2 linked regions of the Callithrix jacchus genome follow. The protein of the gene in region 1 purifies or fractionates together with the protein of each later gene. This does not show direct contact. Links are inferred from orthologs where the notes say so. Each region holds a gene or a part of one and is shown in the gene's direction. Other genes may lie near its edges.

Region 1 (15,905 bases):
TGAGTTTCACTGTTATTTCTTTACTTATTTTGAGGCAGAGTTTTGCTCTTGTTGCCCAGGCCGAAGTGCAATGGTGTGATCTCAGCTCACTGCAACCTCTGTCTTCTCGGTTCAAGAAATTCTTCTACCTTAGCTTCCCAGTAGCTGGAACTACAAGCGCCTGTTGCCACACCCGGCTAATTTTTGTATTTCTAGTAGAGATGGGGTTTTGGCATGTTGGCCAGGCTGGTCTCAAACTCCTTACCTCAGATCATCTACCAGCCTCAGCCTCAGCCTATTTTTTATTGAAGAATAACACACATACAGAAAAGCATATAATCACAGGTATGCAGCTTGACACATTTACACAAAGTGAATATTCTGGGCTGGGCGCGGTGGCTCAGGCCTATAATCCCAGCACTTTGGGAGGCCGAGGCGGGTGGATCACGAGGTCAAGAGATCGAGACCATCCTGGCCAACATGGTAAAACCCCGTGTCTACTAAAAATACAAAGAATTAGCTGGGCATGGTGGCATGTGCCTGTAATCCCAGCTACTCAGGAGGCTGAGGCAGGAGAATTGCCTGAACCCAGGAGGCGGAGGTTGCGGTGAGCCGAGATAGTGCCACTGCACTGGCAACAAGAGTGAAACTGTCTCAAAAAAAAAAAAAAACAAGGCCGGGCACGGTGGCTCAAGCCTGTAATCCCAGCACTTTGGGAGGCCAAGGCGGGTGGATCACGAGGTCAAGAGATCGAGACCATCCTGGTCAACATGGTGAAACCCCGTCTCTACTAAAAATACAAAAAAAAAATTAGCTGGGCATGTTGGCGTGTGCCTGTAATCCCAGCTACTCGGGAGGCTGAGGCAGGAGAATTGCCTGAACCCAGGAGGCGGAGGTTGCGGTGAGCCGAGATCGCGCCATTGCACTCCAGCCTGGGTAACAAGAGCAAAAACTCCGTCTCAAAAAAAAAAAAAAAAGCTGGATGTCGTGGCGCACACCTGTAATCCCAGTTACTCAGGAGGCTGAGGCATGAGAATTGCTTGAACCTGGGAGATGGAAGTTGCAATGAGCTGAGATCGTGCCACTGCACTCCAGCCTGGGTGTCAGAGGGAGATTCCATTTCAAAAGAAAGAAAGAACAGACAGCGTATTCTACTGCACACACATATTTTGAGCTGCATCTGCTGGGTTATAAGATCTAAATGGCAGAGTCGTTTGCCACATCCTGGTCCAGCTAAAGGATCTCTTCTTGCACTGTGCTCCACCAGCCTTACAGTTCTCTTCACTGATGAGTGAGTGCAGCTCTCCTGGCCACGATACAAGCTTCCCCCAAAGTTCCAAAGGCTCTTTCTTTTTTCTTTTTCTTTTTTTTTTTTTGAGACAGAGTTTTGCTGTTATTACCCAGACTGGGGTGCAATGGCATGATCTCGGCTCACAGCAACCTCCGCCTCCTTGGTTCAAGCAAGTCTCCTGCCTCAGCCTCCTGAGTAGCTGGGACTACAGGCATGCACCACCACGCCCAGCTAATTTTATTTTGTATTTTTAGTAGAGATGGGGTTTCGCCTTGTTGACCAGGATGGTCTCTTGACCTTGTGATCCACCTGCCTCGGCCTCCCAAAGTGCTGGGATTATAGGCGTGAGCCACCGCGCCGGTCCCCCAAAGGCTCTTTCTTACCACCTTTTCTTTTTTTTTTTTTTGAGGCGGAGTTTCGCTCTTGTTACCCAGGCTGGAGTGCAATGGTGCCATCTCGGCTCACCGCAACCTCCGCCTCCTGGGTTCAGGCAATTCTCCTGCCTCAGCCTCCCGAGTAGCCGGGACTACAGGCACGTGCCACCATGCCCAGCTAATTTTTTATATCTTTAGTAGAGACGGGATTTCACCATGCTGACCAGGATGGTCTCGATCTCTTGACCTCGTGATCTACCCGCCTCGGCCTCCCAAAGTGCTGGGATTACAGGTGTGAGCCACCGCGCCCGGTCTCTTACCGCCTTTTCCATTGAAGGGTGGGTGGGTAGGGGATGAAAGTTTCAGCAACGGCCGGGCGCAGTGGCTCACGCCTGTAATCTCAGCACTTTCGGAAGGCCGAGATGGGCAGATTACAAGGTCAGGAGATTGAGACCATCCTGACCAACACGGTGAAACCCGGTCTCTACTAAAATACAAAAAAAAAAAATTAGCTGGGCATGGTGGCACGTGCCTGTAGTCCCGGCTACTCGGGAGGCTGAGGCAGGGAAATCACTTGAACCTGGGAGGTGGAGGTTGCGGTGAGTCGAGATTGTGCCACTGCACTCGAGTCTCGCTCTGTCGCCAGTTTTTCCCATAAACTGATGAGAGAGCTAGACTCTGTCTCACACAAAAATGAAAGAAAGAAACAAAGAAAGAGAGAGAGAGAAAGAAAGAAGAAAGAAAGAAAGAGAAGGAAGGAAGGAAGGAAGGAAGGAAGGAAGGAAGGAAGGAAGGAGGGAAAGTTTCAGCAGCTTGCCCTGTTTTTCGTGGAAAACAAAATCCTAACGTAACTTTTCTCCTGTGCCTCCAAAACATCTCCGGGCTGGCAGGTCCTCTTTTTTTTTTTAATTGAACCTCCTGAAATGCACATAAGTCAGCTAATACTTGCATGGCACCTGTTTCGTTCTGCTCTTGGTACGATATGATGATGATGATGATGATGATGAGGCAGGGTGTCCCTCTGTCACCCAGGCTGGAGTACAGGAGCACCATCACAGATCACTGCAGCCTCTACCTCCTGGGCTCAAGTGACCTCCAGCCTTAGCCTCCCAAGTAGCTGAGACCACAGGTGCACACCACCACACTTGGCTATTTTCTTCTTTTTTGTAGAGGAGGGTCTCACTCTGTTGCCCAGACTGCTCTTGAACACCTGGCCTTAAGTGATGCTCCTGCCTTGGCCTCCTAACGTGGTGGGATTACAGGTGTAAGCCACTGCGCCTGGCCAGTACATTATTATGCTAATGAAAGACCTGTCTTTTCTCTGGTTCCTGGGATGGCTCTAGGGTGGTTTCTTCAGACTGGGGATGAGGAGGATTCACGGAGATGTTCCTATAGAGGTGGAAGAAACACCACCATTTGTCAATGACCCCTGGAGACACCTGGAGAACAACGGAGGAGACCCTTGGCCAAAGAGAGCCATTCCACTGTGTTGGAGCCTGCTGATCACCAACCCATAGCTTTTTTCCCTTTCTTCCTTGCTAATCCAACTGTAGATTAATTGAAGAGGTGAGAGGTACTGAGATCCAGGCTGGAAGAGGAATGATTGGTCTACTTGGTTCTCAAGGGATAATGTTGCCCCCTAGAGGACATTTTGGAAATTATTAAGGAAAATTAGCGACTGGGTTTCTCAAGGGTACAGTGCTGCTTCCTTGGGAGCGTTTTGGAAACGTACCTTTCGTCATCGTCACAATGATGAGAGTAGAGGACAGGGACTGAGACTAGAGGACAGGGACCAGGCATGCCAAGATGTTCTGGCATATAGCATTCCTAATGAATAATCACCCAATGAATGCAGTTAACGATAGCTCTTAAAAAGTGGCAAAAAGATTGTTTATACTAAATTATACTAAGCTGAAACACTGAACTATTCCAGTCCCTTTGAAATTGTTTACATAGCAAAGTCATGGTTGACTCCTGACAATTTAGAAGATTTATGCCGCCACTCTTGGGATAATGAAAATGTTTTGGAACTAGATAGAGGTGGTGGTTGCATAATATGGTAAAAGTACTAAAAGCCACTGAATTGTGCACTTCAAAATGCTGCCTAATGTTATATTACGTGAATTTCACCTCAATAAAATTAAAAAAAAAAAAGATGTATAGGCCTGGAGTGGTGGCTTACGTCTGTAATCCCAGCACTTTGGGAGGCCAAGGTGGGCAGATGACCTGAGGTCGGGAGTTTGAGTCCAGCCTGACCAACACAGAGAAACCCCATATCTAGGGGAAAAAATAATAAAATAAAATAAATAAAAAAGGTGTATATTTCCAGATATGAGGCTATACCATTACAGTTATTTTTTTCCCATAAACTATAAAAAAGTAGAAATGAGGAGAGGAAAGGGAGACACTTTTAGACCTTTGATGAGTCTACAAGTACAGGAGAAAATAATTTTTCTTTCTTTTTTTTTTTTTTGACATGGAGTTTCACTCTTGTTACCCAGGCTGGAGTGCAATGGAGCCATCTCGGCTCACCACAACCTCCTCCTCCTGGGTTCAAGCAATTCTCCTGCCTCAGCCTCCCGAGTAGCTGGGATTACAGGCGCGCGCCACCGTGCCCAGCTAATTTTTGTATTTTTAGTAGAGATGGGGTTTCACCATGTTGACCAGGATGGTCTCGATCTCTTGACCTCATGATCCACCCGCCTCGGCCTCCCAAAGTGCTGGGATTACAGGCGTGAGCCACCGCGCCCGGCCCTGAGAAAATAATTTATGCAGCAATTAGCTCTATTTTCAGAGTTTTTTTTCATAAAGTGATCATTTTACAGGCGTTACTGCATAGGCACAGGTAAGAATCTGGGTCACTCCCTAACCAGTTAAAAATTATTATATGCCATAGACTTTCAGAATTACCATCTTTTCTTTTTTCTTTCTTTCTTTTTTTTTTTTTTGAGACAGAGTTTCACCCTTGTTACCCAGGCTGGAGTGCAATGGCTTGATCTCGGCTCACCACAACCTCTGCCTCCTGGGTTCAAGCAATTCTCTGGCCTTAGCCTCCCGAGTAGCTGGGATTACAGGCACGCGCCACCATGCCCAGCTACTTTTCGTATTTTTAGTAGAGACAGGGTTTCACCTCATTGACCAGGATGGTCTTGATCTCTTGACCTCGTGATCCACCCGCCTCGGCCTCCCAAAGTGCTGAGATTATAGGCATGAGCCACCACGCCTGGCCTGAATTTTTGTATTTTTAGTAGAGACAGGGTTTCACTATGTTAACCAGGCTGGTCTCCAACTCCTGACCTCAAGTGATCCTCCTGTCCCAGCTTCCCAAAGTGCTGGGATTATAGGAATGAGTCACCATGCCTGGCCTAATTTTTATAATTTTTGTAGCAGGGTCTGGCTTGCGTTTGACAGTCTCAAACTCCTGACCTGAAGTGATATTCTCAAAGTGTTGGGAATATAGACATGAGCCACTGTGCCTGGCCTGTTGAAAGTTTTTTCTTTTAGTGGGTTTTTTTTTTTTTTTGAGACGGGGTTTCGCTAGTTACCCAGGCTGGAGTGCAATGGCGCGATCTCGGCTCACTGCAACCTCCGCCTCCTGGGTTCAGGCAATTCTCCTGCCTCAGCCTCCCAAGTAGCTGGGACTACAGGCGCGCGCCACCATGCCCAGCTAATTTTTGTATTTTTAGTAGAGACGGAGTTTCACCTTGTTGACCAGGATGGTCTCGATCTCTCTCTTTGTTTTTTTTTTGAGACGGAGTTTTGCTCTTGTTACCCAGGCTGGAGTGCAATGGCCCAATCTCGGCTCACCGCAACCTCGGTCTCCTGGGTTCAAGCAATTCTCCTGCCTCCGCCTCCTGAGTAGCTGGGACTACAGTGTGCGCCACCATGCCCAGCTAATTTTTGTATTTTTAGTAGAGACGGGGTTTCACCTTGTTGACCAGGATGGTCTGGATCTTTTGACCTCGTGATCCACCCGCCTCAGCCTCCCAAAGTGCTGGGACTACAGGCGTGAGCCACCGCGCTTGGCGAGAAAGAGATTTAATCACAGGGCCACTGAAAACCAAGGGAGGAGATGGAAGGAAACCACGAATCCACCTCCCCAGGGAGTTTGGGGTAGGGTTTTTTTAGGGGTTTTGGGGTAGGTTGAAGTGTGAAGGTCATTGGTTGGTTGAAGAGTGAAGGGTGAAATCATGTGTGTGTGTGTGGGGGAAGCCCACAAGTGCCAAGATAAGGGTTTAAAGCCTTAGCCTGTTCCTATATAAATATTGAATTAGAAAAGAATGAGAAAAATAAGCACATAGTTATTTATATATATAAAATCATATATAGTTATACAGTTATTTATATATTATTATACAGATATATATACTTAATATAACCTTTTAATTTTACTAATAATTATTGGGTAATAAAGCATAAAAGTGAGGTGACATTGTGAACAAAGCAATCCTAAGGCAGGATGCTCTAAGCTTCTGTAACGCCCGCATAAGGGCTGCTGGAGGGCGCCTCGGCTGTGCGGCAGTGCCAGCGCTGGGAAAGCGCCAGCTGTTTTTTTTTTTGTTTTTTTTTTTTGAAGTGGAGTTTCGCTCTTGTTACCCAGGCTGGAGTGCAATGGCGCGATCTCAGCTCACCGCAACCTCTGCCTCCTGAGTTCAGGCAATTCTCCTGCCTCAGCCTCCTGAGTAGCTGGGATTACAGGCGTGCGCCACCATGCCCAGCTAATTTTTGTATTTTTAGTAGAGACGGGGTTTCACCTTGTTTGACCAGGATGGTCTCAATCTCTTGACCTCGTGATCCACCCGCCTCGGCCTCCCAAAGTGCTGGGATTATAGGCTTGAGCCACCGCGCCCGGCATGTCTTGTGTCTTTTATTTCCAGTTTCTTGTCTCCACACCTGTAAAAAGGGGCTCACAGAACCCTGTAGGGCTAAACCCTACATTCATGGAACAGGGAGATGAAGAAACTCTCTACTCCTGTTGATTTGGTTCCTCTGTGGGAGTCTTCACACTGGTTGGCATCAGTTGTTTTGCTGGAATTCAGGATCTGAAAAACATCTTTTTTTTTTCCCCTCCTGAGACAAGAGTCTCACTCTGTCGCCCAGGCTGGAGTGCAATGGCGCGATCTCAGCTTAATACAACCTCTGCCTCTCGGGTTCAAGCCATTCTCCTGCCTCAGCCTCCTGAGTAGCTGGGATAACAGGCACGCACCACGACGTCCAACTAATTTTTGTAATTTTAGTAGGGACACGGTTTCACCATGTTGGCCAGGCTGGTCTCGAACTCCTGACATTAGGTGATCTGCCCGCTTCAGCCTCCCAAAGTGCTGGGATTATAGGCATGAGTTTTTTTTTGAGACACAGTCTTACTCTGTCACCCAGGCTGGAGTGCAATGGCCCGATCTTGGCTCACTGCAACCGCCGCCTCCTGGGTTCAAGGAATTCTCCTGCCTCAGCCTCCCTAGTAGCTGGGACTACAGGTGCACACCACCACGCCCGGCTAATTTTTGTATTTTTAATAGAGACGAGGTTTCACCATGTTGGCCAGGATGGTCTCATCTCTTCACCTCGTGATCCGCCCGCATCGGCCTCCCAAAGTGCTGGGATTACAGGCGTGAGCCATTGCGCCCAGCCTCTCAATACTCATTTTACAGTAACCCTATTGCAGGTATCTCAGCGTGCGCTCCTTAAATATTTGCAGAATTTAAGAGCCTCATAAGTGACCACGTGGGTAACGCCCTAGGGTCCTTAAGCCGCGCCATTTTGGGGGCCAGGATTGGTTTGAGCCTGTGTCACGTGACTTACAGTAGCCGGACCGCCCGTGAGTCTTGTGAGGTACTTTTAGTTCCAGCCTCCACGGTCGAGGTACTGCGCAGGCGTGGGGAGATCTGCGCCTGCGCAGAAGCACTCCGGGCGTGCTGCCGGCGGCGGTTGGGCGCGCAGGGCGGGTGGGCGGTTGGTGCGAGCGGGTCCAGAGCTGAGGCTGGAAGAGCCGGCGCCATGGTGGAGAAGGAGGAGGTTGGCGGCGGAATTAGCGAGGAGGAGGCGGCGCAGTATGACCGGCAGATCCGCCTGTGGGGCCTTGAGGCCCAGAAACGGTCAGGGCCGGCGTGGCTTGAGGCGCCCGGGGTCTGGAGAGGGTGTCTAGTCTGAGGCGTTTGCGGCCCGGAGGGAGCGGGAAGGTGTGATTTGAAGGGAGGAGGCGGGAGTTATGTGCACCGGGATCGTGTCGCTCCTGAGAGGACTGGAGGAGTTGATTGGGGATGTTTCTGGAAGGTCTAGGAAGTGGGGACGTCTCAGGATGTCGGCAGGTCTGTTCCGAAGGATGGGAGGCCTCTGAAGGGGGCGTTGGGGAGTCCTGAGGGAGGATTCAAACTCAGGAAATCCGAGGCCCGAGGGCGGTGATGGTGGGGTTTGGGTCGCGGGTAGGGGACTAGAGGGGCTGGGATAACGTGGAAAGGCTGAGGTGGGGGACCCTGTTCTGTGCTGGCCTCGGGGAGGCTGGACTGGCTAACCCCGCAGAAGGAGCGTACATTCTTGTGGGTGCCCGGGGGCGGGCCAGGCTGAAAGAACGCGGCTTTTGAGGAGTTTTGGAGCAACTTATCTCCAGATGGGAATCTTGAGAGGTTGGGAGAGTCTGGAGGAGGACGGCGGCACCGAAACGGTCGCCGTGTCTGTTAGGGGACCGTGCCTTCACAGGACAGAAGACTTAGTTTGGACATTGTGGGGTAGCTTGGGATGGGTGTTTTTTTGTTTTTGTTTTTTATTTGAGAGGAGGTCTCTCTCTGTCGCCCAGACTGGAGTTCTGTGCGGTGATCTCGGCTCACTGCAAACTCCGCCTCCCGGGTTCAAGAGATTCTTCTGCCTCGGCCTCCTGAGTAGCTGGGATTATGGGGCCCACCACTACGCCCGAGTAATTTTTGTATTTTTAGTAGACACGGGGTTTCGCCATGTTGACCAGGCTGGTCTCGAACTCCTGACGTCAGGTGATCCACCCGCCTCGTCCTTCCGAAGTGCTGCGATTACAGGCGTGTGCCACTGCGCCTGGACAACTGTTCTGTGTTTGAGACAGTCTTGCCCTGTTGCCCAGGCTGGGGAGCAGTCTGGCAATCTTGTCTCGCTGCAGCCTCAGGCCTCAAAAACACCCTTTCACCTCCGTCTCCTGAGTAGCTGAGATTACAGGCTCGCGCCACCACGCCCGGTAATTTTTGTATTTTTCGTAGAGATGGGTTTTTGTCATGTTGACCAGGCTGGTCTTGTCCTGACCTCAAATGATTTGCCTGCCTCGGCCTCCCAAAGTGCTGGGATTACAGACGTGAGCCACTGCTCCTGCTTTTTTTTTTTCTCTTTGTTGCCCAGGCTGGAGTGCAGTGGCATGATCATAGCTCACTGTGGCTTCCACTTCCAGGGCTCAAGTGATCTTCTAACTTCAGCCTCACCATTAGGTGGGACTACAGGCTGGCCCCACCACATCATCCAACTAATTTTTGAGTATATATATATTTTTTGTAGGGACGGGGTTTTGCCATGTTGCAGACTGGTCTTGAACTCCCAGGATCAAGCTTTCCTTGGCCTCAAGAGAGCCCTTCCCCAACCCCACACTCGGCCTCCCAAAATGCTGGGATTACAAGCATGAGCCACCATGCACTGATCAATATTTTTACTTAGTGGGGACTCAGTGTCATGCTTGTAATCCTAGCATTGGGAAGCTGAGTCGAAGGGAGGGAAAGGGAATCTTTTGAGCCCAGGAGTTTGAAACCAGCCTGGGTAAGGTTTCAAAAAACCCAGTCTCTACAAAAATAGAAAAATTAGCCGGACATGGTGACATCAGTTTGTGGTCCTAGCTAGTTGAGAAGCTGACGTGGGAGTATCACCTGAGCCCTGGGGAGGTGGAGGTTGCAGTGAGCTGTGATAGCACCACTACACCCCTGCCTGGGCGACACAGTGAGGCCCTGTTTCAAAAAATCAAAAAATCCACAAACGTGTTTATATGTATATATATTGATCTGTCACTAAAGGATGGTGAAGTGGGAGGGCTCTTTTGATAGGTTGGCCAGGGAAGGGCTCTGAAGAGGTAACATTGAGCCTAAGACTTGAATGAAAGGAAAGAGCCCTATGGTCATCTGGGAGAACTTTACCAGCAAAGAAAACAGCAAGTGCAAATTCCCAGAGGCCCAGGCATGATTGTCAGGTAGTGTTGTTTGAAGTGGGGCAAAGTCGGTGGTGTTAAAACTGGAATGTAGTTAGGGAACTTTCAGAGGGATAGGAATGGTTTATCTGAGCAGCAGTAAAGAATGGATGGGGGCCTCTGAGTGGGGAGATGACCTAAGGGACAAGTCAAGGTCAGGACGTGAAATTTGTGGGAGGTGGGAGTTATTCTGAGGGAGTGGAGCTGTACTGAATTTGGTGGAGAACATGAAAAGCATTGGCTGAGGGTTGTGGGAGGGAGGGAAGAGGTTATCTGTCATTTGTACTTGTATTTTTAGATAATCTCAGAGAGTCTTAGAGAATTTATTAAAGTGTTTTTGTGTCCATTTTCAGCTGAGTCTTTTAGAAATTAAATTTTTTTTGTGGGTACATAGCAGGTGGATATATTTTGGGGATACAGGCATACAATGGGTAATAATCATATCAGGGTAAATGGGGTATCCATCACCTCAAGCACTTATTCTTTGTGTTACAAACAATGCAATTATATTCTTAGTTTTTGGGAGTCTGACTCTGTCACCAGGCTGTTGTGCAATCTCACTTCACTGCAATCTCTGCTTCCTGGGTTCAAGCGATCTCAGCTCACTATAACTTCCGCCACCTGGGTTCAAGCGATCCGCCAGCCTCAGCCTCCCCAGTAGCTGAGACTACAGGCATATGCCTCCACACCCAGCTAATTTTTTTGTTTTTAGTGGAGATGGGGTTTCACCATGTTTAGGATTGTCCTAACATGAGGTCCTCTTGACCTCATGATCCACCTGCCTTGGCCTCCCAAAGTGCTGGGGTTACAGGTGTGAGTCACCACATCCGGCTTCTTTTTTTTTTTTTTTTTTTTTTGCGTCCTACCCCCATCACCCGGCTTCTTTTAGTTATTTTGGAATGTACAACAAATTGTTGACTGTAGTCACCGTGTTGTACTATCAAATACCGGATCTTATTTATTGTATTTCATTATATTTTTGAATCCTCCTTCCCCTCCAACCCCTACTACCCCTCCTAGCCTCTGGTAACCATCAGTCTACTATCTGCATGAGTTCAATGTTGTAATTTTTTTAGCTTCCGCAAATAAGTGAGAACCTGCAAAGTTTGTCTTTCACTGCCTTATTTTGCTTAACATAATAACCTCTGCCAGTTCCCTCCATGTTGTTGCAAATGACAGAATCTAATTTCTTTTTTTTTTTTTTTTTTTTTTTTTGGTAGACAGGCTCTCATTCTGTTGCCCAGACTGGAATGCAGTGGTGCAGTCACAGCCAGCTCACTTCAGCCTTGAAGTCTTGGGCTCAGGTGATCCTCCCACCTCAGCCTCCCAGTAGCGGTGACTACAGCACATGCCACAAGCCCAACTCATTTTTTAGTAGAGGTGGGGTTTCGCCATGCTGCTCAGGCTTGTCTCCACCTCCTGGGCTCAAGTAATCCTCCTGCCTCCCTGCAAAGTGCTGGAAGTATAGGCGTGAACCGCCATGCCCAGCCTTTGTACCAAAATGTCTTTATGTGTTGTTAGACACATGGTTTGCTTCCAAGTCTTGGGTGTTGTGAAGAGTGCTGCAGTCAACATGGGAGTGCAGGTATCCTCTTGTTTTTTTTTTTTTCTGTAGACAGAGTCTCCTTCTGTCACCCAGGCTAGAGGGCAGTGGCACGATGTCAGCTCAGTACAACCTCCACCTCTCAGGTTCAAGCAATTCTCTTGCCTCAGCCTCCTGAGTAGCTGCAGGCACCTGCCACCATGCCTGGCTAATTTTTGTATTTTTAGTAGAGCTGGGGTTTGCTCTGTTGGCCAGGCTGGTCTCAAACTCCTAACCTCAGGTAATTGGCCCTCCTTGGCCTCTCAAAGTATTGTGATTACAGGGGTGAGCCTTCATACTCGTCCTGATTTTTTTGGGGGGGGGGGTGGGTATATACATGGCAGTGGGATTGCATTTTCACCTCAGTCTTTTTTTTTTTGAGATGGAATTTCCCTCTTGTTGCCCAGGCTGGAGTGCAATGGTGTGTTCTCAGCTAATGGCAACCTCTGCCTCCCAGGTTCAAGTGATTCTCCTACCTGAGCCTCCTGAATAGCTGAGGTTGCAGGCATGCATCACCACATCTAGCGAATTTTATATTTTTAGTAGAGACGGTTTCTCCATGTTGGTCAGGCTGGTCTTCAACCTCTGCCCTTAGGTAATCTGCTGGCCTTGGCCTACCAAAATGCTGAGATTTCAGGGGTGAGCCACTGTGCCTGGCCTTCACCTGAGTTTGATGGCAGCTCTCTGGAGTAGGAAGGGCAGTGTTCTTCTCTGTTCAGATGAGGAAGCAGGCTCCACAGAACAAATTGACTTGCCTCTAAGAGGGCTCTAGGTGGGGTAGGAGAACTCTGGAGACTGGAGTTCCTTTGTTTTTTTTTTTTTGAGTCCGAGTTTCGCTCGTTACCCAGGCTGGAGTGCAATGGCGCGATCTCGGCTCACCGCACCCTCGCCTCCTGGGTTCAAGCAATTCTCCTGCCTCCGCCTCCTGAGTAGCTGGGACTACAGGCACGTGCCACCATGCCCAGCTAATTTTTGTATTTTTAGTAGAGACGGGGTTTCACCTTGTTTGACCAGGATGGTCTCAATCTCTTGACCTCATGATCCACCCACCTCGGCCTCCCAAAGTGCTGGGATTACAGGCATGAGCCACCACACCTGGCCAGAAGTTAACTTTGTGCCTGTTGTCTGATCTGTAAAAGAAAGATAACAAAGTACCAGCCCATTGGATTGTCATGGGCATTAAATGACATAATACATACAAAGAGCTTAGAATAGTGCTTGGCACACAGTAAATGTTCAATAAATGTTGGCTATTATTATTTTATTTTGTACCTGATCTTTATAATTCTACTAATCGACACAGGTTTTGGTGTGTCTATTAATTCACAGCCATTTGAGTAACAGTATGTCCTAAATGCTAAGGACACCTATTGGTTCTAGGGATACAGTGGTTTCTGGAGTGAGGGGGCAGTCAACATATAATCAAGTAGTGTAGCTTAGTGCAGTGATGTGTGCCTGTGACCCCAGCTACTTGGGAGGCTGGGACTGGAGGATCACCTGAGCCAGGAGATTGAGACTGGCTTGGAAATGTAGTGAGGCTCCATTTCAATCAAAACAAAAACAAATAATATAATTTGAGATGGAAGAGGATGTGGACCTATTTTAAATTAAGTGGCCAGTGTGGACTTCTCTAAGGAGATGACAGTTGAGCTGAGACCTAAAGAATGTATCCTTCAAGAAGTTGAGGAAAGAAACAGTGGGAACCACTAATGTCAAGGTCCTAAGTGGGTAGCAAGCATGATCTCTAGGAACAAGGAAGGCTGGCAGGGCTGTAAGCAAGTGACCAAGGGAGAGAGTAGAATGAGACTGAGACAAGAGAGTATTTAGTGTCCCTGGTGGCTGGCCACAGTGGCTCATACCTGTAATCCCAGCACTTTGGGAGGCCAAGGCAGGTGGATCACCTGAGGTTGGAAGTTGAAGACCAGCCTAACCAACATGGAGAAACCCCGTCTCTACTAAAAATACAAAATTAGCCGGGCGTGGTGGTGCATGCCTGTAATCCCATCTACTTGGGAGGCTGAGGCAGGAGAATTGCTTGAACCTAGGAGGCGGAGGTTGCAGTGAGCCAAAATCTCGATATTGCTTTCCAGCCTGGGTAACGAGTAAAACTCTGTCTTAAAAAAAAAAGAAAAGAAAAAAGAGAGTCCCTGGTAAGGAGCTTACATAGGGAATCATTGAAAGATTTTGCCCAGGAGAGTGATATAATCTTTTTTTTCTTTTTTGAGATGGAGTCTCTCTCTGTTGCCCTAGAGTGCAGTGGTGTGATCTCGGCTCACTACAATCTCTACCTCCTGGGTTCAAGCAATTCTCTGCCTCACCCTCCTGAATAGCTAGGATTACATGCGTGCACCACAATGCCCTGCTGATTTTTGTATTTTTACTAGAGACGGGGTTTCGCCATCTTGGCCAGGCTGGTCTTGAACTCCTGACCTTGTGATCTGCCCTCCTCAGCCTCACAACATACTGGGATTATAGGTGTGAGCCACCTCGCCCAGCCCAATCTGGTTTACATTTTAATAGACCTTCCTGAGAAGGAAGTTGGTGGATTGTAGAGGCTGAGAATGGAAGCAGAAGGAGCAGGTTTAAGGCTGCTATAGGTTTTTTTTTGTTTTTGTTTTTTTGAGACAGGGTCTCAATTTCTTTCCCAGGCTGAAGTACAGTGGCTTGATCACAGCTCACTGCAGCCTCGACCTCCTGGGCTCAGGTGATCTTCCCACCAAAGTCCCTCACCCCTCCCAGAGTAGCTGGGACTACAGGTTTGCGCCACCACACCCAGCTAATTTTTAATTTTTTTTTTTGTACAGACGGAGTCTTACTGTGTTGCCCAGGCTGGTTTCGGATTTGTGGGCTCAAGTGATCCTCAGGCCTCACCCTCCCAAATTGCTGGGATTACAGGTGTGACCCACTGTATCCAGCCTGCTGTAGTTTTGTAGGAGAGAAATGATGGTCGCTCAGACTAGGGTGGTGGATGTAGAAGTCGAGGGAAGTAGATGGATGATGATGCTGTGAATGTATATTATTTTTGTGCCCACTTGGGTGTATATTTATTTATTTTGAGACAGAGTTTGATGCGGTCTCAACTCAATGGACCCTCCACTTCCCGGGTTCAAGTGATTTTCCTGCCTCAGCCTCTGGAGTAGCGGATATTACAGGTTCCTGCTACCATGCCCAGCTAATTTTTGTAATTTTAGTAGAAATGGGGTTTCACCGTGTTGGCCAGGCTGGTCTTGAGCTCCTGACCTCAGTTGATCTGTCTGCTGGGGATTTGTAGTCCCAGCACTTTGGGAGAGGCAGAGGTAGGAGGATTGCTTAAGCCCAGGAGATGGAGATCAACCTGAGTAACATAGTGAGACCCCATGTTTACAAAAAAACCCCATAAATTAGCCAGGTGCAGTGGTGTGCACCTGTAGTCCCAGGACTCAGTAGGCTGAGGTGGGAGGATCACTTGAACCTGGGAGGCTGAGGCTGCAGTGAGCCCTGCACTTCAGTCTGTGTTCATAGAACGAGACCCTGTTTCAGTAAAACAAAACAAAGCATAAACATGATATTTAGTGTTGATGCCATTTGAGTAATGAATTTTATTTTATTTTTGAAATGGAGTCTGTTGCCCAGGATGGAGTACAGTGGCACAGTCTTGGCTCACTGAAACCTCTGTCTCTCGGGTTCAAGCAGTTCTCATGCCTCAACCTGCCAAGAAGCTGGGATTATAGGTCCCTGCCACCAAACACTACCAGCTAATATATATATATATTTTTTTATTTGGAATCTTGCTCTGTCCTCCAGGCTGGCATGATCTTGCCTCACTGCGACCTCCCCTCCCAGGTTCAACTGATTGTCCTGCCACAGCCTCGTGGGTAACTGGGATTACAGGAGTCTGCCACCAATACTGGCTGATTTTTGTATTTTTTAGTAGAGATGGGGTTTTGCCGCCGGGTGCAGTGGCTCAAGCCTGTAATCCCAGCACTTTGGGAGGCTGAGGCAGGTGGATCACGAGGTAAAGAGATCGAGACCATCTCAGTCAACATGGTGAAACCCCGTCTCTACTAAAAATACAAAAAATTACCTGGGCATGGTGGCGTGTGCCTGTAATCTCAGCTACTGAGGAGGCTGAGGCAGGAGAATTGCCTGAACCCAGGAGGCGGAGGTTGCGGTGAGCCGAGATCGCACCATTGCACTCCAGCCTGGGTAACGAGCAAAACTCCGTCTCAAAAAAAAAAGAGAGAGAGAGATGGGGTTTTGCCATGTTGGCTAGGTTGGTCTTGAACTCCTGGACTCCAGTGATCTGAGCACCTTGATCTCCCAAAGTGCTGGGATTACAGATGTGAGCCACTGCACCGGGCCATAGTTTTTTTTGTATTTTTGGTAGAGATCAGGTTTCACCATGTTGGACAGGCTGGTCTTGAACTCCTGACCGCAGGCGATCCACCCGCCTGAGCCTCCCAAAGTGCTGAAATTACAGGTGTGAGTCACCAAACCTGGCTGAGTAATGAATTTTAA
Region 2 (16,067 bases), on another chromosome or scaffold:
TCTCTAAGCCAAAAAGTGTCTGAGACAGGGCTCAATCAATTTAGAAGTTTATTTCGCCAAGGATAAGGACAATTCCTGGGAGAAAAAAACATGGAATCACAGAAATAGTCTGTGGTCCGTGCCTTTCTCCCAAGTTGACTTTGCGGGTGTTAGTATTTAAAGAGGAAGGGTGTGATCACATGACTGAATGTACACGGTGCAAGAGAAAAGGAGCCACTGGGGAAGAGTCAATTGTGCATTCATCTCATGACCAGCAAACTGAATTGGCATTTTCCATAAGATAAGGTGAATTTAGAGCAGCTACCGGTAGAGATGTTTACCTTTTATCTGTAACTATCTGCTTAGGAACCAAAGGAAATGCAGCTTCTTGCAGGACTCAGCTTTCAGCTTAATTTTTTCCTTTTGACAGAGTGAATTTGGGTGCCAAGATTTTATTTTCCTTTCACATTTCTCTGATTTGCTTTTTCTGAAATATGTTTATTTCACTTCTACCTTTACATGATCTTGTCATTGGGTATAAAATTCTATGTAGACAGCTATTTTCTTTCACCCCTTTGAAGATGTTAATTCCATTGTTACATGGCTTCCATGTTCATGTTGCAAAGTCAGCTGTAAGTCCTTTAGTTTCTCCTCTGTCTGTCTTCTTATAGGGTTCAGCCCTATAGGGATCTCCCTCTCTGCTGGTGCGGAGATGAGAAACTGTAGAAATAAAAGACACAGACACAGAGATAAAGAGGGTTTGGGCTGGGGGGTCCACTGCAAACCAAAGTGTGGACACCTGCAGTGGCACCGAGTGCCTGGACACTCTGACTTTTATTGAGTACAAAGCAGGGGTCAGGGAAGGCAGGGTGAGGTGATGGTGGTCAGTGCAGGGTCAGGTAACTTGTGTCTTGGAGACAGGGGGCCCAGGACTTTCAAGCAGCCGAGGCGAGGAGAAAAGCTAATGCGTCAGCGCTCTTCACATATTTGTCGGAAATGTCAAGGACATTAATTTTTATCTTCTGAGAAGAAGAGAAACTAGGTGCAGAAGCAGAGCGTGAGAGTGGACACGGAACATGATCACTGAAGCACAGCATCACAGAGAGGCAGTTAAGCCCCCGGATGTCTGTGGGCCTCCCTGACAGAGCTTGGAGAAGCGGAGTTTTCTCCTAACTTCCCCAGGAAGGAGATGTCTCAGCCATTTTGGATATCTCCTTCCCTTACTGGCTAAACACTGGGCACTTTCCCAGCACTGGCACTGCTGCACACCCGAGGTGCCCTCCAGCAGCCCTATGCGGGTGTGACAGGGCTTAGAGCATCTGGCCTTAGGATCACTTTGTTCACAATGTCACCTCAGTTCCATGTTTCATAACCCCATAGTTATTAGTAAAATTAAAGGTTATATTGAGTACATATCTTTCTGGTTATAAGTGAGCAGTTATAATATTATATATGATTATATAAAGGAATAACTGTGTGCCTACATTTCTAATTCTTTTCTAAATCAATATTTACATGGGAACAGGCTGAAGCTTCAGACCCTCCCCACGGCACTTGTGGGGTCTCCCCCCTACAGCTTCTATTCTCTTTGTCTTTGGTTTTCAGGTTTAGTATGTAATCAAGCATTTTTTTTTTTAAATCTATTCTGATTGTGGTTGATAGTATGTTTGTAATCTATGTTTTGTTACGTTTGATCAATTTTGACAAATTCTCTTATTATTTCTTCAGATATCACTGCTGGCCTATTCTCTCTCTGTGTTACTCCATTTTATAAATGCATTACACCTGTAATCCCAGCATTTTGGGAGGCTGAAGTGGGCAGATCACCAGGTCAGGAGTTCAATACCAGCCAGACCATCATGGTGAAACCCTGTCTCTACTAAAAAAACAAAAATTAGCTGGGCATGGTGGCATGTGCCTGTAATCCCAGGTACTCAGGAGGCTTAGGCAGAAGAATAGCTTGAACCCAGGAGGCAGAGGTTGCAGTGAGCTGAGATCGCATCACTGCATTCCAGCCCGGGCAACAGAGTGAGACTCCATGTAAAAAAAAACATTATACCTTTTCACCATATTGCATATCTCTTAGGCCTTTTGCTATATTGCCCATATTTTTTCTCTGTTTCTGTCAGAATATTCTTTTTTTTTTGAGACAGAATCTTGCTCTGTCACCCAAGGTGGAGTGCAATGGCGTGATCTTGGCTCACTGCAACCCCCGTCTCCCAGGTTCAAGCAATGAAAGGCAACTGCAACCATACCTAGCTATTTTTTTTTTTTTAAAGGGCTGAAGAGGCCAGGTGCGGTGGCTCAAGCCTGTAATCCCAGCACTTTGGGAGGCCGAGGCAGGTGGATCACGAGGTCAAGAGATCGAGACCATCCTGGTCAACATGGTGAAACCCCGTCTCTACTAAAAATGCAAAAATTAGCTGGGCATGGTGGTGCGTGCCTGTAATCCCAGCACTTTGGGAGGCTGAGGCAGGTGGATCACGAGGTCAAGAGATCGAGACCATCCTGGTCAACATGGTGAAACCCCGTCTCTACTAAAAATAAAAAAATTAGCTGGGCATGGTGGCACGTGCCTGTAATCCCAGCTACTCGAGAGGCAGAGGCAGGAGAATTGCTTGAACCCAGAAGGCGGAGGTTGCAGTGAGCTGAGATCATGCCATTGCACTCCAGCCTGGGTAACAAGAGCAAAACTCTGTCTCAAAAAAAAAAAAAAAAAAAAAAAAAGGGAGCTTTAGAACTGGCTAATTTCTTGTATTTTTAGTAGAGATGGGGTTTAGCCATATTGGCCAGGCTGGTCTCAAACTCCCGACCTCAGGTGATCCACCCACCTTGGTCTCCCAAAGTGCTAGGATTACACTGCGGCCACTCTGAATATTTTCTTCTGACCTATCTTTCAGTTCATTAATTATCTCTTTCACTGTGTCTAATCTGTTTCAAACACATCCACTGAATTTATAACTTCAGCTAGTATATTTTTTGTTTGAAAATTTCCATTAGATTCTTATATACCCCACTTCTCTGCTGAACATTTTCGTCTCATAATCTACTTTCTTGAACATATTAATCACATTCCTTTAAAGTCTATGTATGATAATGTCAATATCCTGTTGACATAATAATTCCATGGGATTATTTCTTATATGTATTTTGGCTTTGGATCATTTGTCTTCTGGTTTTCTTTGTGAACTTTATCCGGATATTGTGTATGGAAATATTTTCATTAGTTTGAGGCCCTGGATGATGCTATTTTCCTCAGTATATTTCCCTTTGCTTCAGGCTGGCCTTGGGAAAGAGGGCAGATCAGTTGAGTCTGGGATTGAGCCCTTTGGAAGCTTGATTTCAGACTTTGAGAGGGATGATCCAGTCACCCCTCAGCCTTCCTCCCCTACTGCAGCACTCAGTGCTCTCGGCTGAAGGTCTGGGTCACTCAGCAGAGCCTATCTTGGGGGCCGTCACCAATTATTGCGTCCCCAACCCTGTAAGACTCAAAAGCTCACTCAGAGTGTCAACTTCTTCCCAGTGCATATGTGAGACTGAATTGTGTCCTCCAGCATTCACATAGTGAAGCCCATTTCATCTGGAGATAGGACCTTTAAGGAGGTGGTAAGGATGGGGCCCTAATCCCATAGTACCAGTGTCCTTGCAAGAGGAGGAAGAGACACCAGAGATCTCTCCATCTGCACACACAGGGGAAAGGCCATGTGAGAACATGCCAAGGTGGCCACATACGAGCTGGGAGGAGAGGCTTCACTGGACACCAACCCTGATGGCTCACTGATTTTGGGCTTCCAGTCTCCAGAACTGCCTGGAGGCTGGGAAATAACTATCCATGGTTTGTATTTTTTTATGAAAGTCTGGGCTGAATAATACAGGATACTTATCACCAAATGCCTCAAAGAAAAAAAAAAAAACAAAAAACAACTTGCCTTTTTCCTGAGGTGGTGGGAGGTCTTTGCCCCTCAGAGAAAAATTTGTTTTTGTAACTATCCGATATACTTAAACAGATTTAAAAATATTTTATACCGATTTTTGAGCTATTTTTCTTGGGTTTGTCTGAGGCAACCAGTCCTTCCTAACTGTAAGGAAAAACTTCTCTGAATGCTTCAGGCATTTCTCCTCACACCACCCATCTCAGTGTCTGTCTTCTCTCAGCCATTCAATACTCAGGGGTCCTTTCCATTTATAGAGTCAAATATTTCTTTAGTTCAGAGAATTTTATTTTCTTTTGTTTAAAACAAGGTCTCGTCCTTCTGCCCAGGCTGGAGTGCAGTGGTGTGATCTCGACTCACTGCAGCCTCTCCTGAGTTCAAGCGATTCTCCAGCCTCAGCCTCCCAAATAGCCAGGATTAAAGGCATGCATCACCACACCTGGCTAATTTTTGTATTTTTAGTAGAGACGGGTCGTCACCATGTTGCTCAGGCTGGTCTCGAACTCCTGACGTCAGGAAATACACCTGCCTCAGTCTGTCAAAGTGCTGGCATTACAGGCAGGAACCACTGCACTGGGCCTCAGAGATACTTTCTTCAATCCTTTGATTTTTGTCCTGCCTTCCTTTTTTCCACCTTCTCCTTCTGTAGCTCCTGTCAGGTGGACACAGCCCTTCCTGTACTGAGGCCCAGTGTCCTGGCTTCCCACCTTCCCTCTCTTTAGTTCTCTGTCATGGGAGAGTCCTGTGACTTTGGCAGTTGTGTCCTCAGCCAGGACCCCTCTCCTAGTCAGCACACGGGTTGAGCTTTCACGTCAGCAATCCTCTTACTCATTTCCCAGCTCCTGCCTTCTTGTAAGTCTTCTTGGGACCATCACCAGGTGTTGGCGACACTGAGGACGGGCTCTGGCAGTCTCGGATCTGGACCCTGTGCTCATGGTAGGCCCTGGTTTTTCCTGAGCTCTGGTTTCTCTGGTCCATTCGATCCCCTTTGGCTGTGTCCTTCAGAAACCTGTTGGTGTTTGGTCTACCAGCAGTGCCCTTTGTGTCCCCGCAGCTCAGTGGAGCCTTTTTGCATCTTTGTGGTCACAGGAAGGATTTGGGGCAGGTCAGAGTGTGGGAGCAGCGTTCTTTCTTCGCAGACACAGCATGACTTGATTCGGACCACCATCATCTTTTAGCCTGCTCTTGAAAACTGAATGTCATCTGAGCATCCTTGATATTCGTGACACGGCTTTTTGTCAGAGGAATGCACCTGGCTTAACCGCGAGTGGTAACACACCTGGGCTCCACGTGTCATCAGTTCTAAGCTGCGTGTTTCTCACGTCCACAACATGAAGCGGGCTGCCTTATCCACAGCCCGTGGGAATCTAATGTCCGTGCTACCGTGTGGTCTTATGTTTTAGGATCAACAGTGTCTCGGAGTCGGCCTGCCCTGCGACTCTCCCCACCAGCAATCTAGGGGCTCTGAGCCCCGCTTCCCCTCGCAAGGGGCTGGTTGCAGGGGTCCCCCTCCCAAGACAGCCTAAGCCGGCCGCCCACCTCCGCATCCTCTGCGAGGCCTTGGGTTCCAGGTTCCAGAAAGATGGGACCACACCCTGGGACCTGGGCTGACCGTCCGACCCTCTCACCGAGAGACCTCCCCGGCCTTCCCGCTCCTCAGTGGGGGCTCTAGCCAAGAAAGCCAATTCTTAAGAGTGGAAGTTACGGTCCGCTAAGATTTGTCCCCTGGCTTTGCGACCGCGCTCGGTTGGCTGGGCCGTCCCCGGCTCAGAGGCTTAGGTTCAAATCCAGGTCCTGCCCTTTCCCGGCTGAGCCTGCGGGGTCCGGCTCCCCCGCCTCCGCCATGCCCGGATGGCACCGCCCTGGCACTGCCGAGGGACGCAGGGGTGCCCGCCCTCACGCGCATTCCATCCGAGAACCTGGGATCACAGACTCGGAGGCGGGGAGGGCCGGGCACCCCAGGAATGGCGCCGCAAGTCCGGGGAGGCCCTGCCGGCCCCGCGCTCCAGCGCGTTTCCCGCATCCGCGAGCCCCCGTTCCGCCGGCACCGGCGGCGTCCAGCCTGGGTTTGCCCGCGCTCGGCGCTGCTCACCAGCGCTGACCTGGGGATGGTTGGGCCGCCCAGTGCCTCAGTTTCCTCGTAGGTAAAACGGGTCTTCCTGAGGACGGGTTTGAGGGCCCGGCACAGCCCGGTGGGAGCGGCGGCCGAGGGAGCCCGGCCCGGGCTGACAACGGACAGGAAGCTGCCGCTGCAAGGAGCCGCGTGGCGCCCCCAACCGTCCCGGGTGCGGGCCTGATTCGCGCGGCCTCGGCGGCCGGGACCCCGCGGGCGCCTTGTCCGCTCCGTCCGCGGCTCCCGAGAGGGAACGTCGCCCCCAGGGGCCTCCCTCCTCCGCCTCACGGGCTGCGGCCCGGCCTCACTTCCCGCACCCCAGGAACGCTGTCCCCAGAAAAGGAGTCGGGGCCAGGGCGCGGGAGGGGAGGCAGGCAGGGGTCCCCAGGGCCCGGGCTCCCCGCACGCGCCTCTGGCCCGCGCACCCCAGTGCCCTAGGCCGTCTGAGCCCGCCGGGGTCGCGCCGGACCCGCCCCGTGACGCATCTCCAAGCGCCGGGAGCCGCGGCCAGGCCAGCGCGCGCCCGACGCCCCAGGGAGCGCGCCTCGTGCACGCGCGCAGACACGTGACCCCCCGCCGGCCAACGAGCGCGCCGGGATTTGGGGGATAAAGCGCGGCCCCGCGCGCAGTTGCGGCGGGAGAGCGGCGGGGCCGTGAGCGTGACTCGCCCGCTCCGCGCTGCTTCCCCCGCGCCGCCTGCCCGCGCCGCCCGAGCAGCCATGTCCGAGGAGAAGCCCAAGGTAAGCGCGGCGCCCCCGTCTGCACGCGCGGCCATCGCGGGCGTCTTGGGCGCGTCCGCCGACGCGCGCCGCTCCCCGTCGGCCCGAGGAAACCGCGGCGACCTCGGGGACCCGCGCCCAGGCCGGCGGCGCCGCCTGCGCTCCCGTCCCTTCTCTTCCCTCCCCTCCCCCGCTCCGCCCGGCTCGCCGCTCCCCTCCCCCGCCCGGCGGCGCTCGGCGGCGCGCCCCGCCTCCAGCCCGGCTCCGCCCCCAACAAGACTCCGCCCCTTCTCTCCTCCCATAGCCAGGCTCCGCCCCGCTCCCCACCCCTTGTAGTGTCCCGCCCCGAAGTGGAACCGCCTAAGGCGCGCCCCGCCCCGAAGCGCTCTGTGCCTCCAGTTCCGCCCCCGCCGGGCCTGGCCACGCCCTTGCTCCACGCCCCGCCCCTCCCCGGCCGGGAAGCGGCAGGTCTTGCGCCGGGTGTGGGCCCCGCGCTGCTTCTGCCCAGCGCGGCGCCCTCCGATCTCGCCCCGGCGGTGCCCCTGAGGCGTCTTTGCGTGGCCTTCTCTTGAGTCATTGCCCGGTGGCGTCGCCCTCTCCCGCCGCATCGCCCTGGGAGGGTCGCATGTTGAGCGCACGGGTTGGCTCTGGGATTAGCGTCCGGGGTTACCCCGGAGGGGCGTGCTCTGAGGGGCTTGGCCCCTGTGAACAGCTCTGCCATCCTTTCAGGGTGCCCATCGCGCGCCTGGTATTCACCCATTTCTCCACATCGTGTCCCCGTGTGTGCTCACCCCTCTCCTTCGCGATCCCCAATCGTGCCCCCAGTGTACCCATCCTCCCCTTCGCGACCCCCCTTCCCCGTGTGCGCCCACCCCTCCACATCGCATCCCCGGTGTGTGCCCACCTCTCTTCGAGACTCCCCAATCGTGTCCCCAGTATGCACCCATCCCTCCCCGTGTGTACCCACCCACTCCACCATGTGCGCCCGTGTGCGCCCACCCCTTTCACCTCGTTCCCTAGTGTGCACCCACCCCTCCCCATCGTATCCCCCTTCGTGTGCGCCCACCCCCTCCCCATCGCACCTCCCGTTGTGTACCCACCCTTCCCCATCGGGTTCCCCAGTGTGCGTCCACCCTTCCCAACCCCACCCCCACCCCTGTCTGCGCCCATCCCCTATGCATGCCCACCCCTCCTTAGCCAGCCTTGGGTGTGTTTTAGTTTCCTCGATTGCCACACTGGAGTATGCAATCCTGTCTCAGTCCTGGGGTGTGCACCCTTCACTAAGGTGCACTGGCCTGTCTTTGGGAGGGTCTGTAGTCATGTTGACCAGGATTAAAAAAACAGAAACTACTTGACTAGCCTAAAAAAAAAAGAGAAACTTAGGCCGGGCGCGGTGGCCTATAATCCCAGCACTTTGGGAGGCGGAGGCGGGTGGATCACGAAGTCAAGAGATTGAGACCATCCTGGTCAACGAGGTGAAACCCCATCTTTACTAAAAATACAAAACTTGGCTGGGCATGGTGGTGCGCACCCGTAGTCCCAGCTACTTGGGAGGCTGAGGCAGGAGAATTGCTTGAACCCAGAAGGCGGAGGTTGCAGTGAGCCGAGATCCTGCCATTGCACTCCAGTGTGGGTAACAACAGCGAAACTCCGTCTCAAAAAAAGAAAGAGAAACTTCTGAAGCCCTTGGTGTGCACTGTCGACCAAGTGGAAGATGGTGTCATATCCCAGTGGAAGATGACTAGAGCTGAAGACTCTGTAAGGAGGCTGTCTCTGATACTGGCCTGGTCCTGGAGGTGACCACCCTCCGTTTACAAGTGAGCGTGGAGGTTCAGTGCTAGACACTAGTGGGAACTGGGATTGAAGCTCCTGGAACCACGGGCGGGGTCTCTCTGGAAGGCTGCACTCCACTTGCTGTGTAGTGAAACTCCAGGGAAACCTCTATCCAGTGTTTGGAGTGACCTTTGCTTTTTACAGTTTGACTTCAGTGAACTCAAACTTCTTCCACCCCTGGGGTTGTTGGAATATTTAAATACTTGTTAAAACTAGGCCAGATATACAGGTGGATCACCTGAGGTCAGCAGTTTGAGACCAGCCTGGCCAACATGATGAAACCCTGTCTCTACTAAAAATACAAAAAGTTAACCAGGCGTATTGGCACACTCCTGTAGTCCCAGCTACTTGGGAGGCTGAGGCAGGAGGATCTCTTGAACCAGGGCGGGAGAGGTTGCAGTGAGCCAAGATCGCACCACTGCACTCCAGCCTGGGTGACAGTGAAACTCAGACTCCAAAAAACAAAAAGCAAAAAAACTAGGCCAAGGATAAGTGTCTGTTGTGTTTTTGTAGGTAGCTTCCTCTTAGCGAAGAGTAAATGAAGAACCTATGAGACCCATTTTCTCAGCAGTGTTTAAACCTAGCTCTGCCACGTGCTCAACTTCAGGGTCCAATTCCGTTGAAAATACTTGTTCAGTTCCGGAATGACTGATGGCTGCCACCTCACCGGACCCACTTGTGGTGGGTCCCCTTCGTGTGTGTGGGAGCAGCTCTGCCCTGGGCCTCTGAGGAAGGGGAAGAAGTGGACCCTGGGACCCAGTGGTGCTGGGAAGAAGAGCTTTTGGGTCAGGTGGAGAATAGTTCTGACTTCCCCGAATAGCTGAGGCAGAGGATTGCCTGTAGTGAACTGGGGTCCATGTTTTTAGGGCTTCTTTTTTTTTGAGACGGAGTCTGGCTCTGTTGCCAGGCTGGAGTACAGTGGCGCAATCTCAGCTCACTGCAACCTCCACCTCCCGGGTTCAAGTGATATCCTGCCTCAGCCTCCCGAGTAGCTGGGACTACAGGCAGCTGCCAGCATGCCCGGCTAATTTTCGTATTTTTAGTAGAGACGGGTTTTCACCATGTTGGCCAGGATGGTCTCTATCTCTTGACCTTGTGATCTGCCCGCCTCGGCCTCCCAAAGTGCTGGGATTACAGGCGTGAGCCACTGCGCCCGGCCCAGGGCTTCATTTTTTAACTCACGAGTTCATTTGTTTATTAGGAATTCACCAGGGATCTGGAACAGACTGTTCATTCCTGGCATCTGGCTGTTAATGGGGCAGAGGTGCTGTGGCTGGCCCTGCCCTGCCCCAGCCTCTCCCGGGGCCGCAGCCATTGCCCGGTGTGGGCAGGTCTGGGTCCTGCATCTGTGCCTTTGAACACACCCATATCTTCCTTCCCTAAAGAAACCAGTGAGTCCTCATGCTTGGGGAAGTGAAGGGGGTTCATGCAGGGGTCCCCACTAACATCCTGCCCGGAGTGGTCTGCATGCCCTCACTTCCTGGGCCAGTTTTTTCTGTGCTGGAGGCCACATTGGGGGTGAGGGGGTGGGGGGATGGGGGTGTGCCAGCTCACCACTCAAGCTGCTGCGAAGCCAGTGTCCTCCCTGGAGTGGGCAGGGATGCCTGGTCCAAGACTGGAGTTGGGGGGTGAGTGCCACCTCAGAATATACATCTTCAGGCTTGTGGCTGGAGCCCCTCACTGCCAGGGCCCCTCACAGGCCACTCTTGCTCCCTTGACAGAGAGCACCATACCTCCCCAAGGGTCTCCAGGAATGTACAGTGCTCCCTCTGGGAGCACCTCCGCGTAGGGTGAGAAGGTACCAGGGTGCTCCAGACTTGACGTTCAGATGCCCCGTCGCTTCACTCAGACGGCTTCACCCAGCAGTGCAGGCAGCCTGAGGGGTGTCCCACTTTGCTGCTCAGACTGAGCTGCCCCGAAGTTGGCTCCCAATCTGTTGACATCGGCTTCTTGCCTCAACTGAAAATGCATTTCCAGGCAACAAGACACGCTGATTGTGCCTTGCTGAGCAGCTTCAAGCATGGCATGAATTAAAAAATAAAATGCTACCCGCTGCTCTCAGATGGGACAGTTTGAAACCAGAAAGTACTCGGAGATGGCTCCCTTCACATTTGCCAATGACAGGGCAGTGAGAAGGAGCCTGGCTGCCCGCCGTGGGAAGCGGCTCTCCTCAATTGCATTCCTGAGGTCACCACTTTAATGACCCACAGGGTCCCTCTGAGTCGCAAATGTTTTGTTCTGTTTTGGTTTCTTTTACTAGTGCTGAATAGCTGTAGTGACTTGTGGATATGTCTTTTTACTGCTTTCATAAGAATAATTTTTTAAAAAAGAGATGGGGTCTTGCTGTGTTGCCCAGGCTGGTCTCAAACTCCTGGGCCCAAGCCATCCTCCCACGTCAGCCTCCCAGAGTGCTGGGTTGATGGGTGTGAGCCACTGTGCCCAGCCCACAAGAATCACTTTAAAATAAAGATGGATCTTCTCTGATTTTTCCCTAGCTTTATTAAACGGGTTTTCTTTGAATTAACCATGTTAGAGGACTGTAGATTCGCATTGTTTTACCCACAGATGCTTAACAAGTGGAAGTTAAAAATCAATTCCGTGTAAAAATGAGACAATCACATGAGTGATTCCGACTCCTGGACAGTTTTAAGAACTAGGTTGTCTTTAAGGACTTCAAAGAGCTGATGGTCACCTAAGGACCTGCCCTGCAAAGTCGCGGTTATTTTGAGACACAGTTTTGAGGCCAGTCTCTGGTGTCCCCTGCAGGAGGGCGTGAAGACAGAGAACGACCACATCAACCTGAAGGTGGCCGGGCAGGACGGCTCCGTGGTGCAGTTCAAGATCAAGAGGCACACACCGCTGAGCAAGCTGATGAAGGCCTACTGCGAGAGGCAGGTGCGCGCCTCGGCCCCCCGCACGGCTTCCCGCGTGTGTGCAGGTCCCGTGGGTTCCAGGCATCCCGGGAACATGAGTGTCGGGGCTGGACCCAGCTGCAGCTGCTCGAGGCGCCCTCCTCACGGACAGGCGGGTGGGCGGGTGCTTGTGTTGTAAACTTGGCCCAGGCTGGGCTTGCTGACTGTGCCCCCACGGCCTTTTATGTGGCGGGGGGCCCTGGAGGCTCAGATGAGTGCAGTGGGGTTTTCTTCCTGACAAGGCGGCTTCCTGGGGGCTGTGTTCTTCATGGGGCACTGACATCTGTGAAGTCTGTGATGCTGAAGGCTGTTGGGAGCCCTGCCCGGGGCTGGCCTTTCTGCAGCTGCAGGTGGCGTGTGCCCCATGGCACTGTCACCTTGTCCTTGCATATGAGCTGGAGTAGCCCGGGAGAAACAGTGCCCTCATCTGCAGTGTGGTTTTCCCTTTTGTTAGGAAAGGAAAGAAAGTGTGTGATTCTTTCTCCTCCTTCTCCAGTTTCAGGATAATGAGCTGCCTCACTGGCAGTGCCCTGCTGGGCGGACGCCTTCTGGTTGCTGTGTGATTGTGGACTTGGTATGTGTGTGCGTGTCAGTCATTCTTGGTAGTGCTCGGAGGACTCGCCCTGGGCCAGGGGGTCCCTCTCCAGGCCACTCCTATGGGCTTTGCCTGCTGGCTGCTGCCTGGAGTGTTGGGGGTCTGGCCCTGCAGCCAGGTGCCTTTCCCCAGGGAGCCCTGCTTCCCTGAGTGGGACCTGGAGGCTGCTTTTCTTTAGCTGTTTTGAAAATGCAGCAACTCGTCGCCCTTTTATTTTACTCTCTTGCCTATGGATTTTCAGTTAGATTTTCTCCTCTTTACCTCGCGCTTCTGATACCCTGCTTGTGAGAGGCAGTCACTGGCCACCACCTTGCACGCTGTTGGCAAGCAGCCCCTCTGACTTCTGTTTGCTGAAGGCAGATCTTATTTTCACCTGCAAAAGGTGAAACTGAGCTTCTGGACATGCAGGCCCCGATCTTCCCAGCAGAGTGAGCGACCCAGCCTCTGCCTGGTGCTGGACCCTGGCCCTTGTTGGAGTGTGTGCTGCCTGGGCTGGTGGTCACTGTGTATATGACTTCCCAGGTGCCCGCATAGTCTGCTGTGCTGCAGGATGGCAGGCGTGTGGGGCTGTGTACATGTCTCTGGCTCTGCTCTTCCCACTGCTCTCCAGGGCTCCCTGCCTGCCCCACCTGCACTGCTGCCTGTGAGGCTGGCTGCACAGTCGTGGTCCCAGGGCCTCCTGTTCACATCCTTCTAGAAACTTGGTTCTCCCCTGGGTGTTTCCTGGATCTGTCCTCCTCCCTTTGGTGGTGGAGCACATCCTCCAGGGTTGTGTCAGAGAGGGCACAGAAGGGCAGCGTCTTTGAGACACTGCATGGCCGAAAGCAACTTTTGCTTTTTTTTTTTTTTTTTTTTGAGACAGAGTTTCACTCTTGTTGCCCAGGCTGGAGTGCAATGGCGCGATCTCGGCTCACTGCAACCTCCGCCTCCTGGGTTCAGACAATTCTCCTGCCTCAGCCTCCTGAGTAGCTGGGATTACAGGCACGCGCTACCATGCCCAGCTAATTTTTTGTCTTTTTAGTAGAGACGGGGTTTCACCATGTTGACCAGGATGGTCTCGATCTCTTGACCTCGTGATCCACCCGCTTGGGCCTCCCAAAGTGCTGGGATTACAGGCGTGAGCCACCGCACCCGGCAAAGTTCCTTTTTCTTTCTGTTCTTTGAGTGTTCTTTTTTTCTCAGTAGCAATTTATTTATTTTCTTGAGACAGGGTCTCTCTATTCTCCCAGCTGGAGCACAGCGGTGAGATCATGGCTCACTGCAGCCTTGACCCCTGGGGCTCAAGTGATCCTCCTGCCTCAGCCTCCTGAGTAGCTGGAACTACAGATACATACCACCATGCCAGACTAATTTTTTTATTTTGTAGAGATAGGGGTCTCCCTATGTGGTTCAGGTGGGTCTTGAACTCCTGGGCTCAAGTGATCCTCCTGCCTCTGTCTCCCAAAGTGCTGGGATTACACATGTGAGCCACCACCCCCATCCTCAGTAGTTTATTGTTTTCTGAAGGTAGTATTATGTTTTACTTCGTGTGTGTAGGTGGGTGTGGTGTATGCGCATGTGTGTGTATGTGTGAGGGGTGTGTGTGTGTACAGGCCTGTGTTGGGAGCATTCTCCTGCCTCCTCCCTCTCCATTCTCCTCTGTGCTCTTCCCCTCCTTTCTGAGCCTTTCCCTGACTGCTCTCACGAAGGCTGACTTCTCCTGTGCAAGCATGGAGCACTGAGAAGCTGTGTACCTGGATGGCTGTGCTCCCAGGGCTGTGCATCCACGTGGGGTGAGCTGTCTGGATTGGGGGTTCTGGAGGTGCCCAGATGCTGCAGTTTGACAGTTGAGTCCTCTACGCTCCGGCCAGCCTCCTAGGGGCATATCCAGAGAGAGAGGGGGCTCGGTGCACAGGGTTGAGGACACTGGCTTCCATGGGCCTGCTTCCGCCCTGCGACTGGACCTCTGCACCCACCTCTTCAGAAAGCAGACCTCCTGTGTGCTGCGGTGGGAGGCACGGGGTTGTAGGGGTCCTGCCTTAGGGCTCTGCATGTGAACTTCCAGCCAGCTTTTCAATGTCAGCTGCCTGCCACAGCCCTGCTTCCCAGGCTGGGGCCTGCCCAGTCCCTCCGCTCCAGGATTCTAGCACAGTGTCCATCAGACCAGCAGTGTCCACGCCTTGGTAGCCTCTGGCCCAGCCCAGCGGGACATCTCTGCCCATCCCCGCACCCATTTTCTTTGTCCTTGCTGTTTGTGCCTTTTCCATTTCCGTCATTTCATTGGGGCTTCAAGGGGGAGCAGATGCACGTTTTAAACCTGTTGGTCTGGTTTCAGTTAAATCAGAACTGCTTGTTGAGGAAATGTTTCTGTCCCTGGCCGTGTTTCTCCATTCCCTCAGGACACAAGAAAGGCTGCGTGCTCTCCTTCCTGCTGCCCTCCTCAAGGCTCCCCGGCTTTCCGCAGCCTCTTGTCTTGTCCCTCATTGTCACACATCCAGTTCCTTGCCGAGAACTTTGTAGCGGGGAGGTGGTGGTGCCAGCAGTGTAGCTCTACTCGGCTTCTGGAAGGAAATGGGAGGGGTGAGGCGGGGCAGGTCAGGGCACCAGGGGAGAGAGGATTCAGTGTTTGAACGCACCATTCCATGAGGCCATTGCACTGAGAAGCTCTGATGGACAAGCTGGCTGCTGGAAGCTTAGTATTGACCCGGCAGCTCATGTCCCCTCCCTTGGCCCACCACCAGTGCTAGTCCAGTTTTTCCTGCTGAGGGACAGCTGTCTGAGCATCACCGTGACATGTTACCCTTCCTCTCCTGGGTCTCACAGGTAAAGCAAGGGTGGATTTTAGAGGCAGATGAGTTCAGGTGTTAGTCTAGGACGTCTCTTGTTTTCTGGAGTTTAAATATAAGTCTGCTTTCCTTCCGCCATGGACAGCTTACCTATCTGCGCTGAAACTGAACTGACACTGATTAAGAATTTCCCAGTATCCACTGGTGTGACAAAACCCGGGTTGAAAATGACCTGTTTTAGCCCATCAGAGAGAAGACGGTAGGACAGACGGTTCTGAAAGCACGGGTGTCAGGCGCCGCGTGAAGGAGGCTGGAGGTCCACTCGCGAGTGGCTCATACTGAACTGGGTCTTAATCTGCACAGCACAACGCTGATACTGGATCAAAATATTTAGTTTTTGAATTAAGCTGTATCTGAACTATTTAATGGTGACTGCTTTTCCTTTTCAGGGCTTGTCAATGAGACAGATTAGATTCAGGTTTGACGGGCAGCCAATCAATGAGACCGACACTCCAGCACAGGTATGGAGCTGGCTTCCTGTGGGTTCCAGGGTGACTTCCGATTTGTGTGGGGTAACTGCCATCTGGGATATGCTTATTTGAGACTCATAGATGGGAGCTCATACAGAATGCCTTCTGCTTTTTCCGTAATGATTTTGATTATTAGATTATTTACTTTTCAAATTTAAAATTTAATTTTCAAATGAGAAAACTGCTTTGCAGACATCATTCTTGCTGTCTGGAGATGGGGCCGACTGCCAGGCCCATCCTCACGGTGGGGGAAGCACTCAGTGGCCCTTCCCACTCATTGTCTGGACACTGTGGTTGTAGCCTCCGTGCAGCTCGTGGCTGGCTTGATTCTTGTGCCCTTTAGGTGTCTTATGCAAATGACGTGAGTGGACAGAATGTGCCATCACACCTGATTATCAGTCAGCACATTTCCTTTATCTCAGGCACGTACCTGTCACATGGTGAAATGAATGAGATCTCATATGTCACGTCGCAGTGCATCATATTGTCGTGGAAGGAGCTTGGGACTCGGAAACAGACATTTTTTAAAACTTGGTTCAAGCTGCAGCTCTTGTCTTTTGTCAGCTGAAGTCCCTGTGACCAAGAATCACTTCATCTTGTGGAATCTCAGTTTTGTCTGACTGTAAATGGAGCTAATACCTGCTTTTTCTCCCTTTCGAGGTTGTGAGAATCCACTGGAATGTTTTATG

What was found.
Region 2: the proteins of SAE1 (region 1) and SUMO3 purify together in Homo sapiens (affinity purification with mass spectrometry; 3 studies listed by BioGRID and IntAct, with this or other methods). This does not show direct contact. The link is inferred for Callithrix jacchus from reciprocal best matches to the Homo sapiens genes SAE1 and SUMO3.

What each region holds. Positions count from the first base shown.
Region 1 is NC_133523.1:41,078,498-41,094,402, forward strand, and holds the start of SAE1 (SUMO-activating enzyme subunit 1), read left to right. Parts: upstream 1-7,584; 5' UTR 7,585-7,638; coding exon 7,639-7,736; intron 7,737-15,905. UniProt on the Homo sapiens protein: The heterodimer acts as an E1 ligase for SUMO1, SUMO2, SUMO3, and probably SUMO4. It mediates ATP-dependent activation of SUMO proteins followed by formation of a thioester bond between a SUMO protein and a conserved active site cysteine residue on UBA2/SAE2.
Region 2 is NC_133522.1:50,466,148-50,482,214, reverse strand, and holds the start of SUMO3 (small ubiquitin-related modifier 3), read left to right. Parts: upstream 1-6,649; 5' UTR 6,650-6,743; coding exon 6,744-6,764; intron 6,765-11,342; coding exon 11,343-11,471; intron 11,472-15,297; coding exon 15,298-15,369; intron 15,370-16,067. UniProt on the Homo sapiens protein: Ubiquitin-like protein which can be covalently attached to target lysines either as a monomer or as a lysine-linked polymer. Does not seem to be involved in protein degradation and may function as an antagonist of ubiquitin in the degradation process.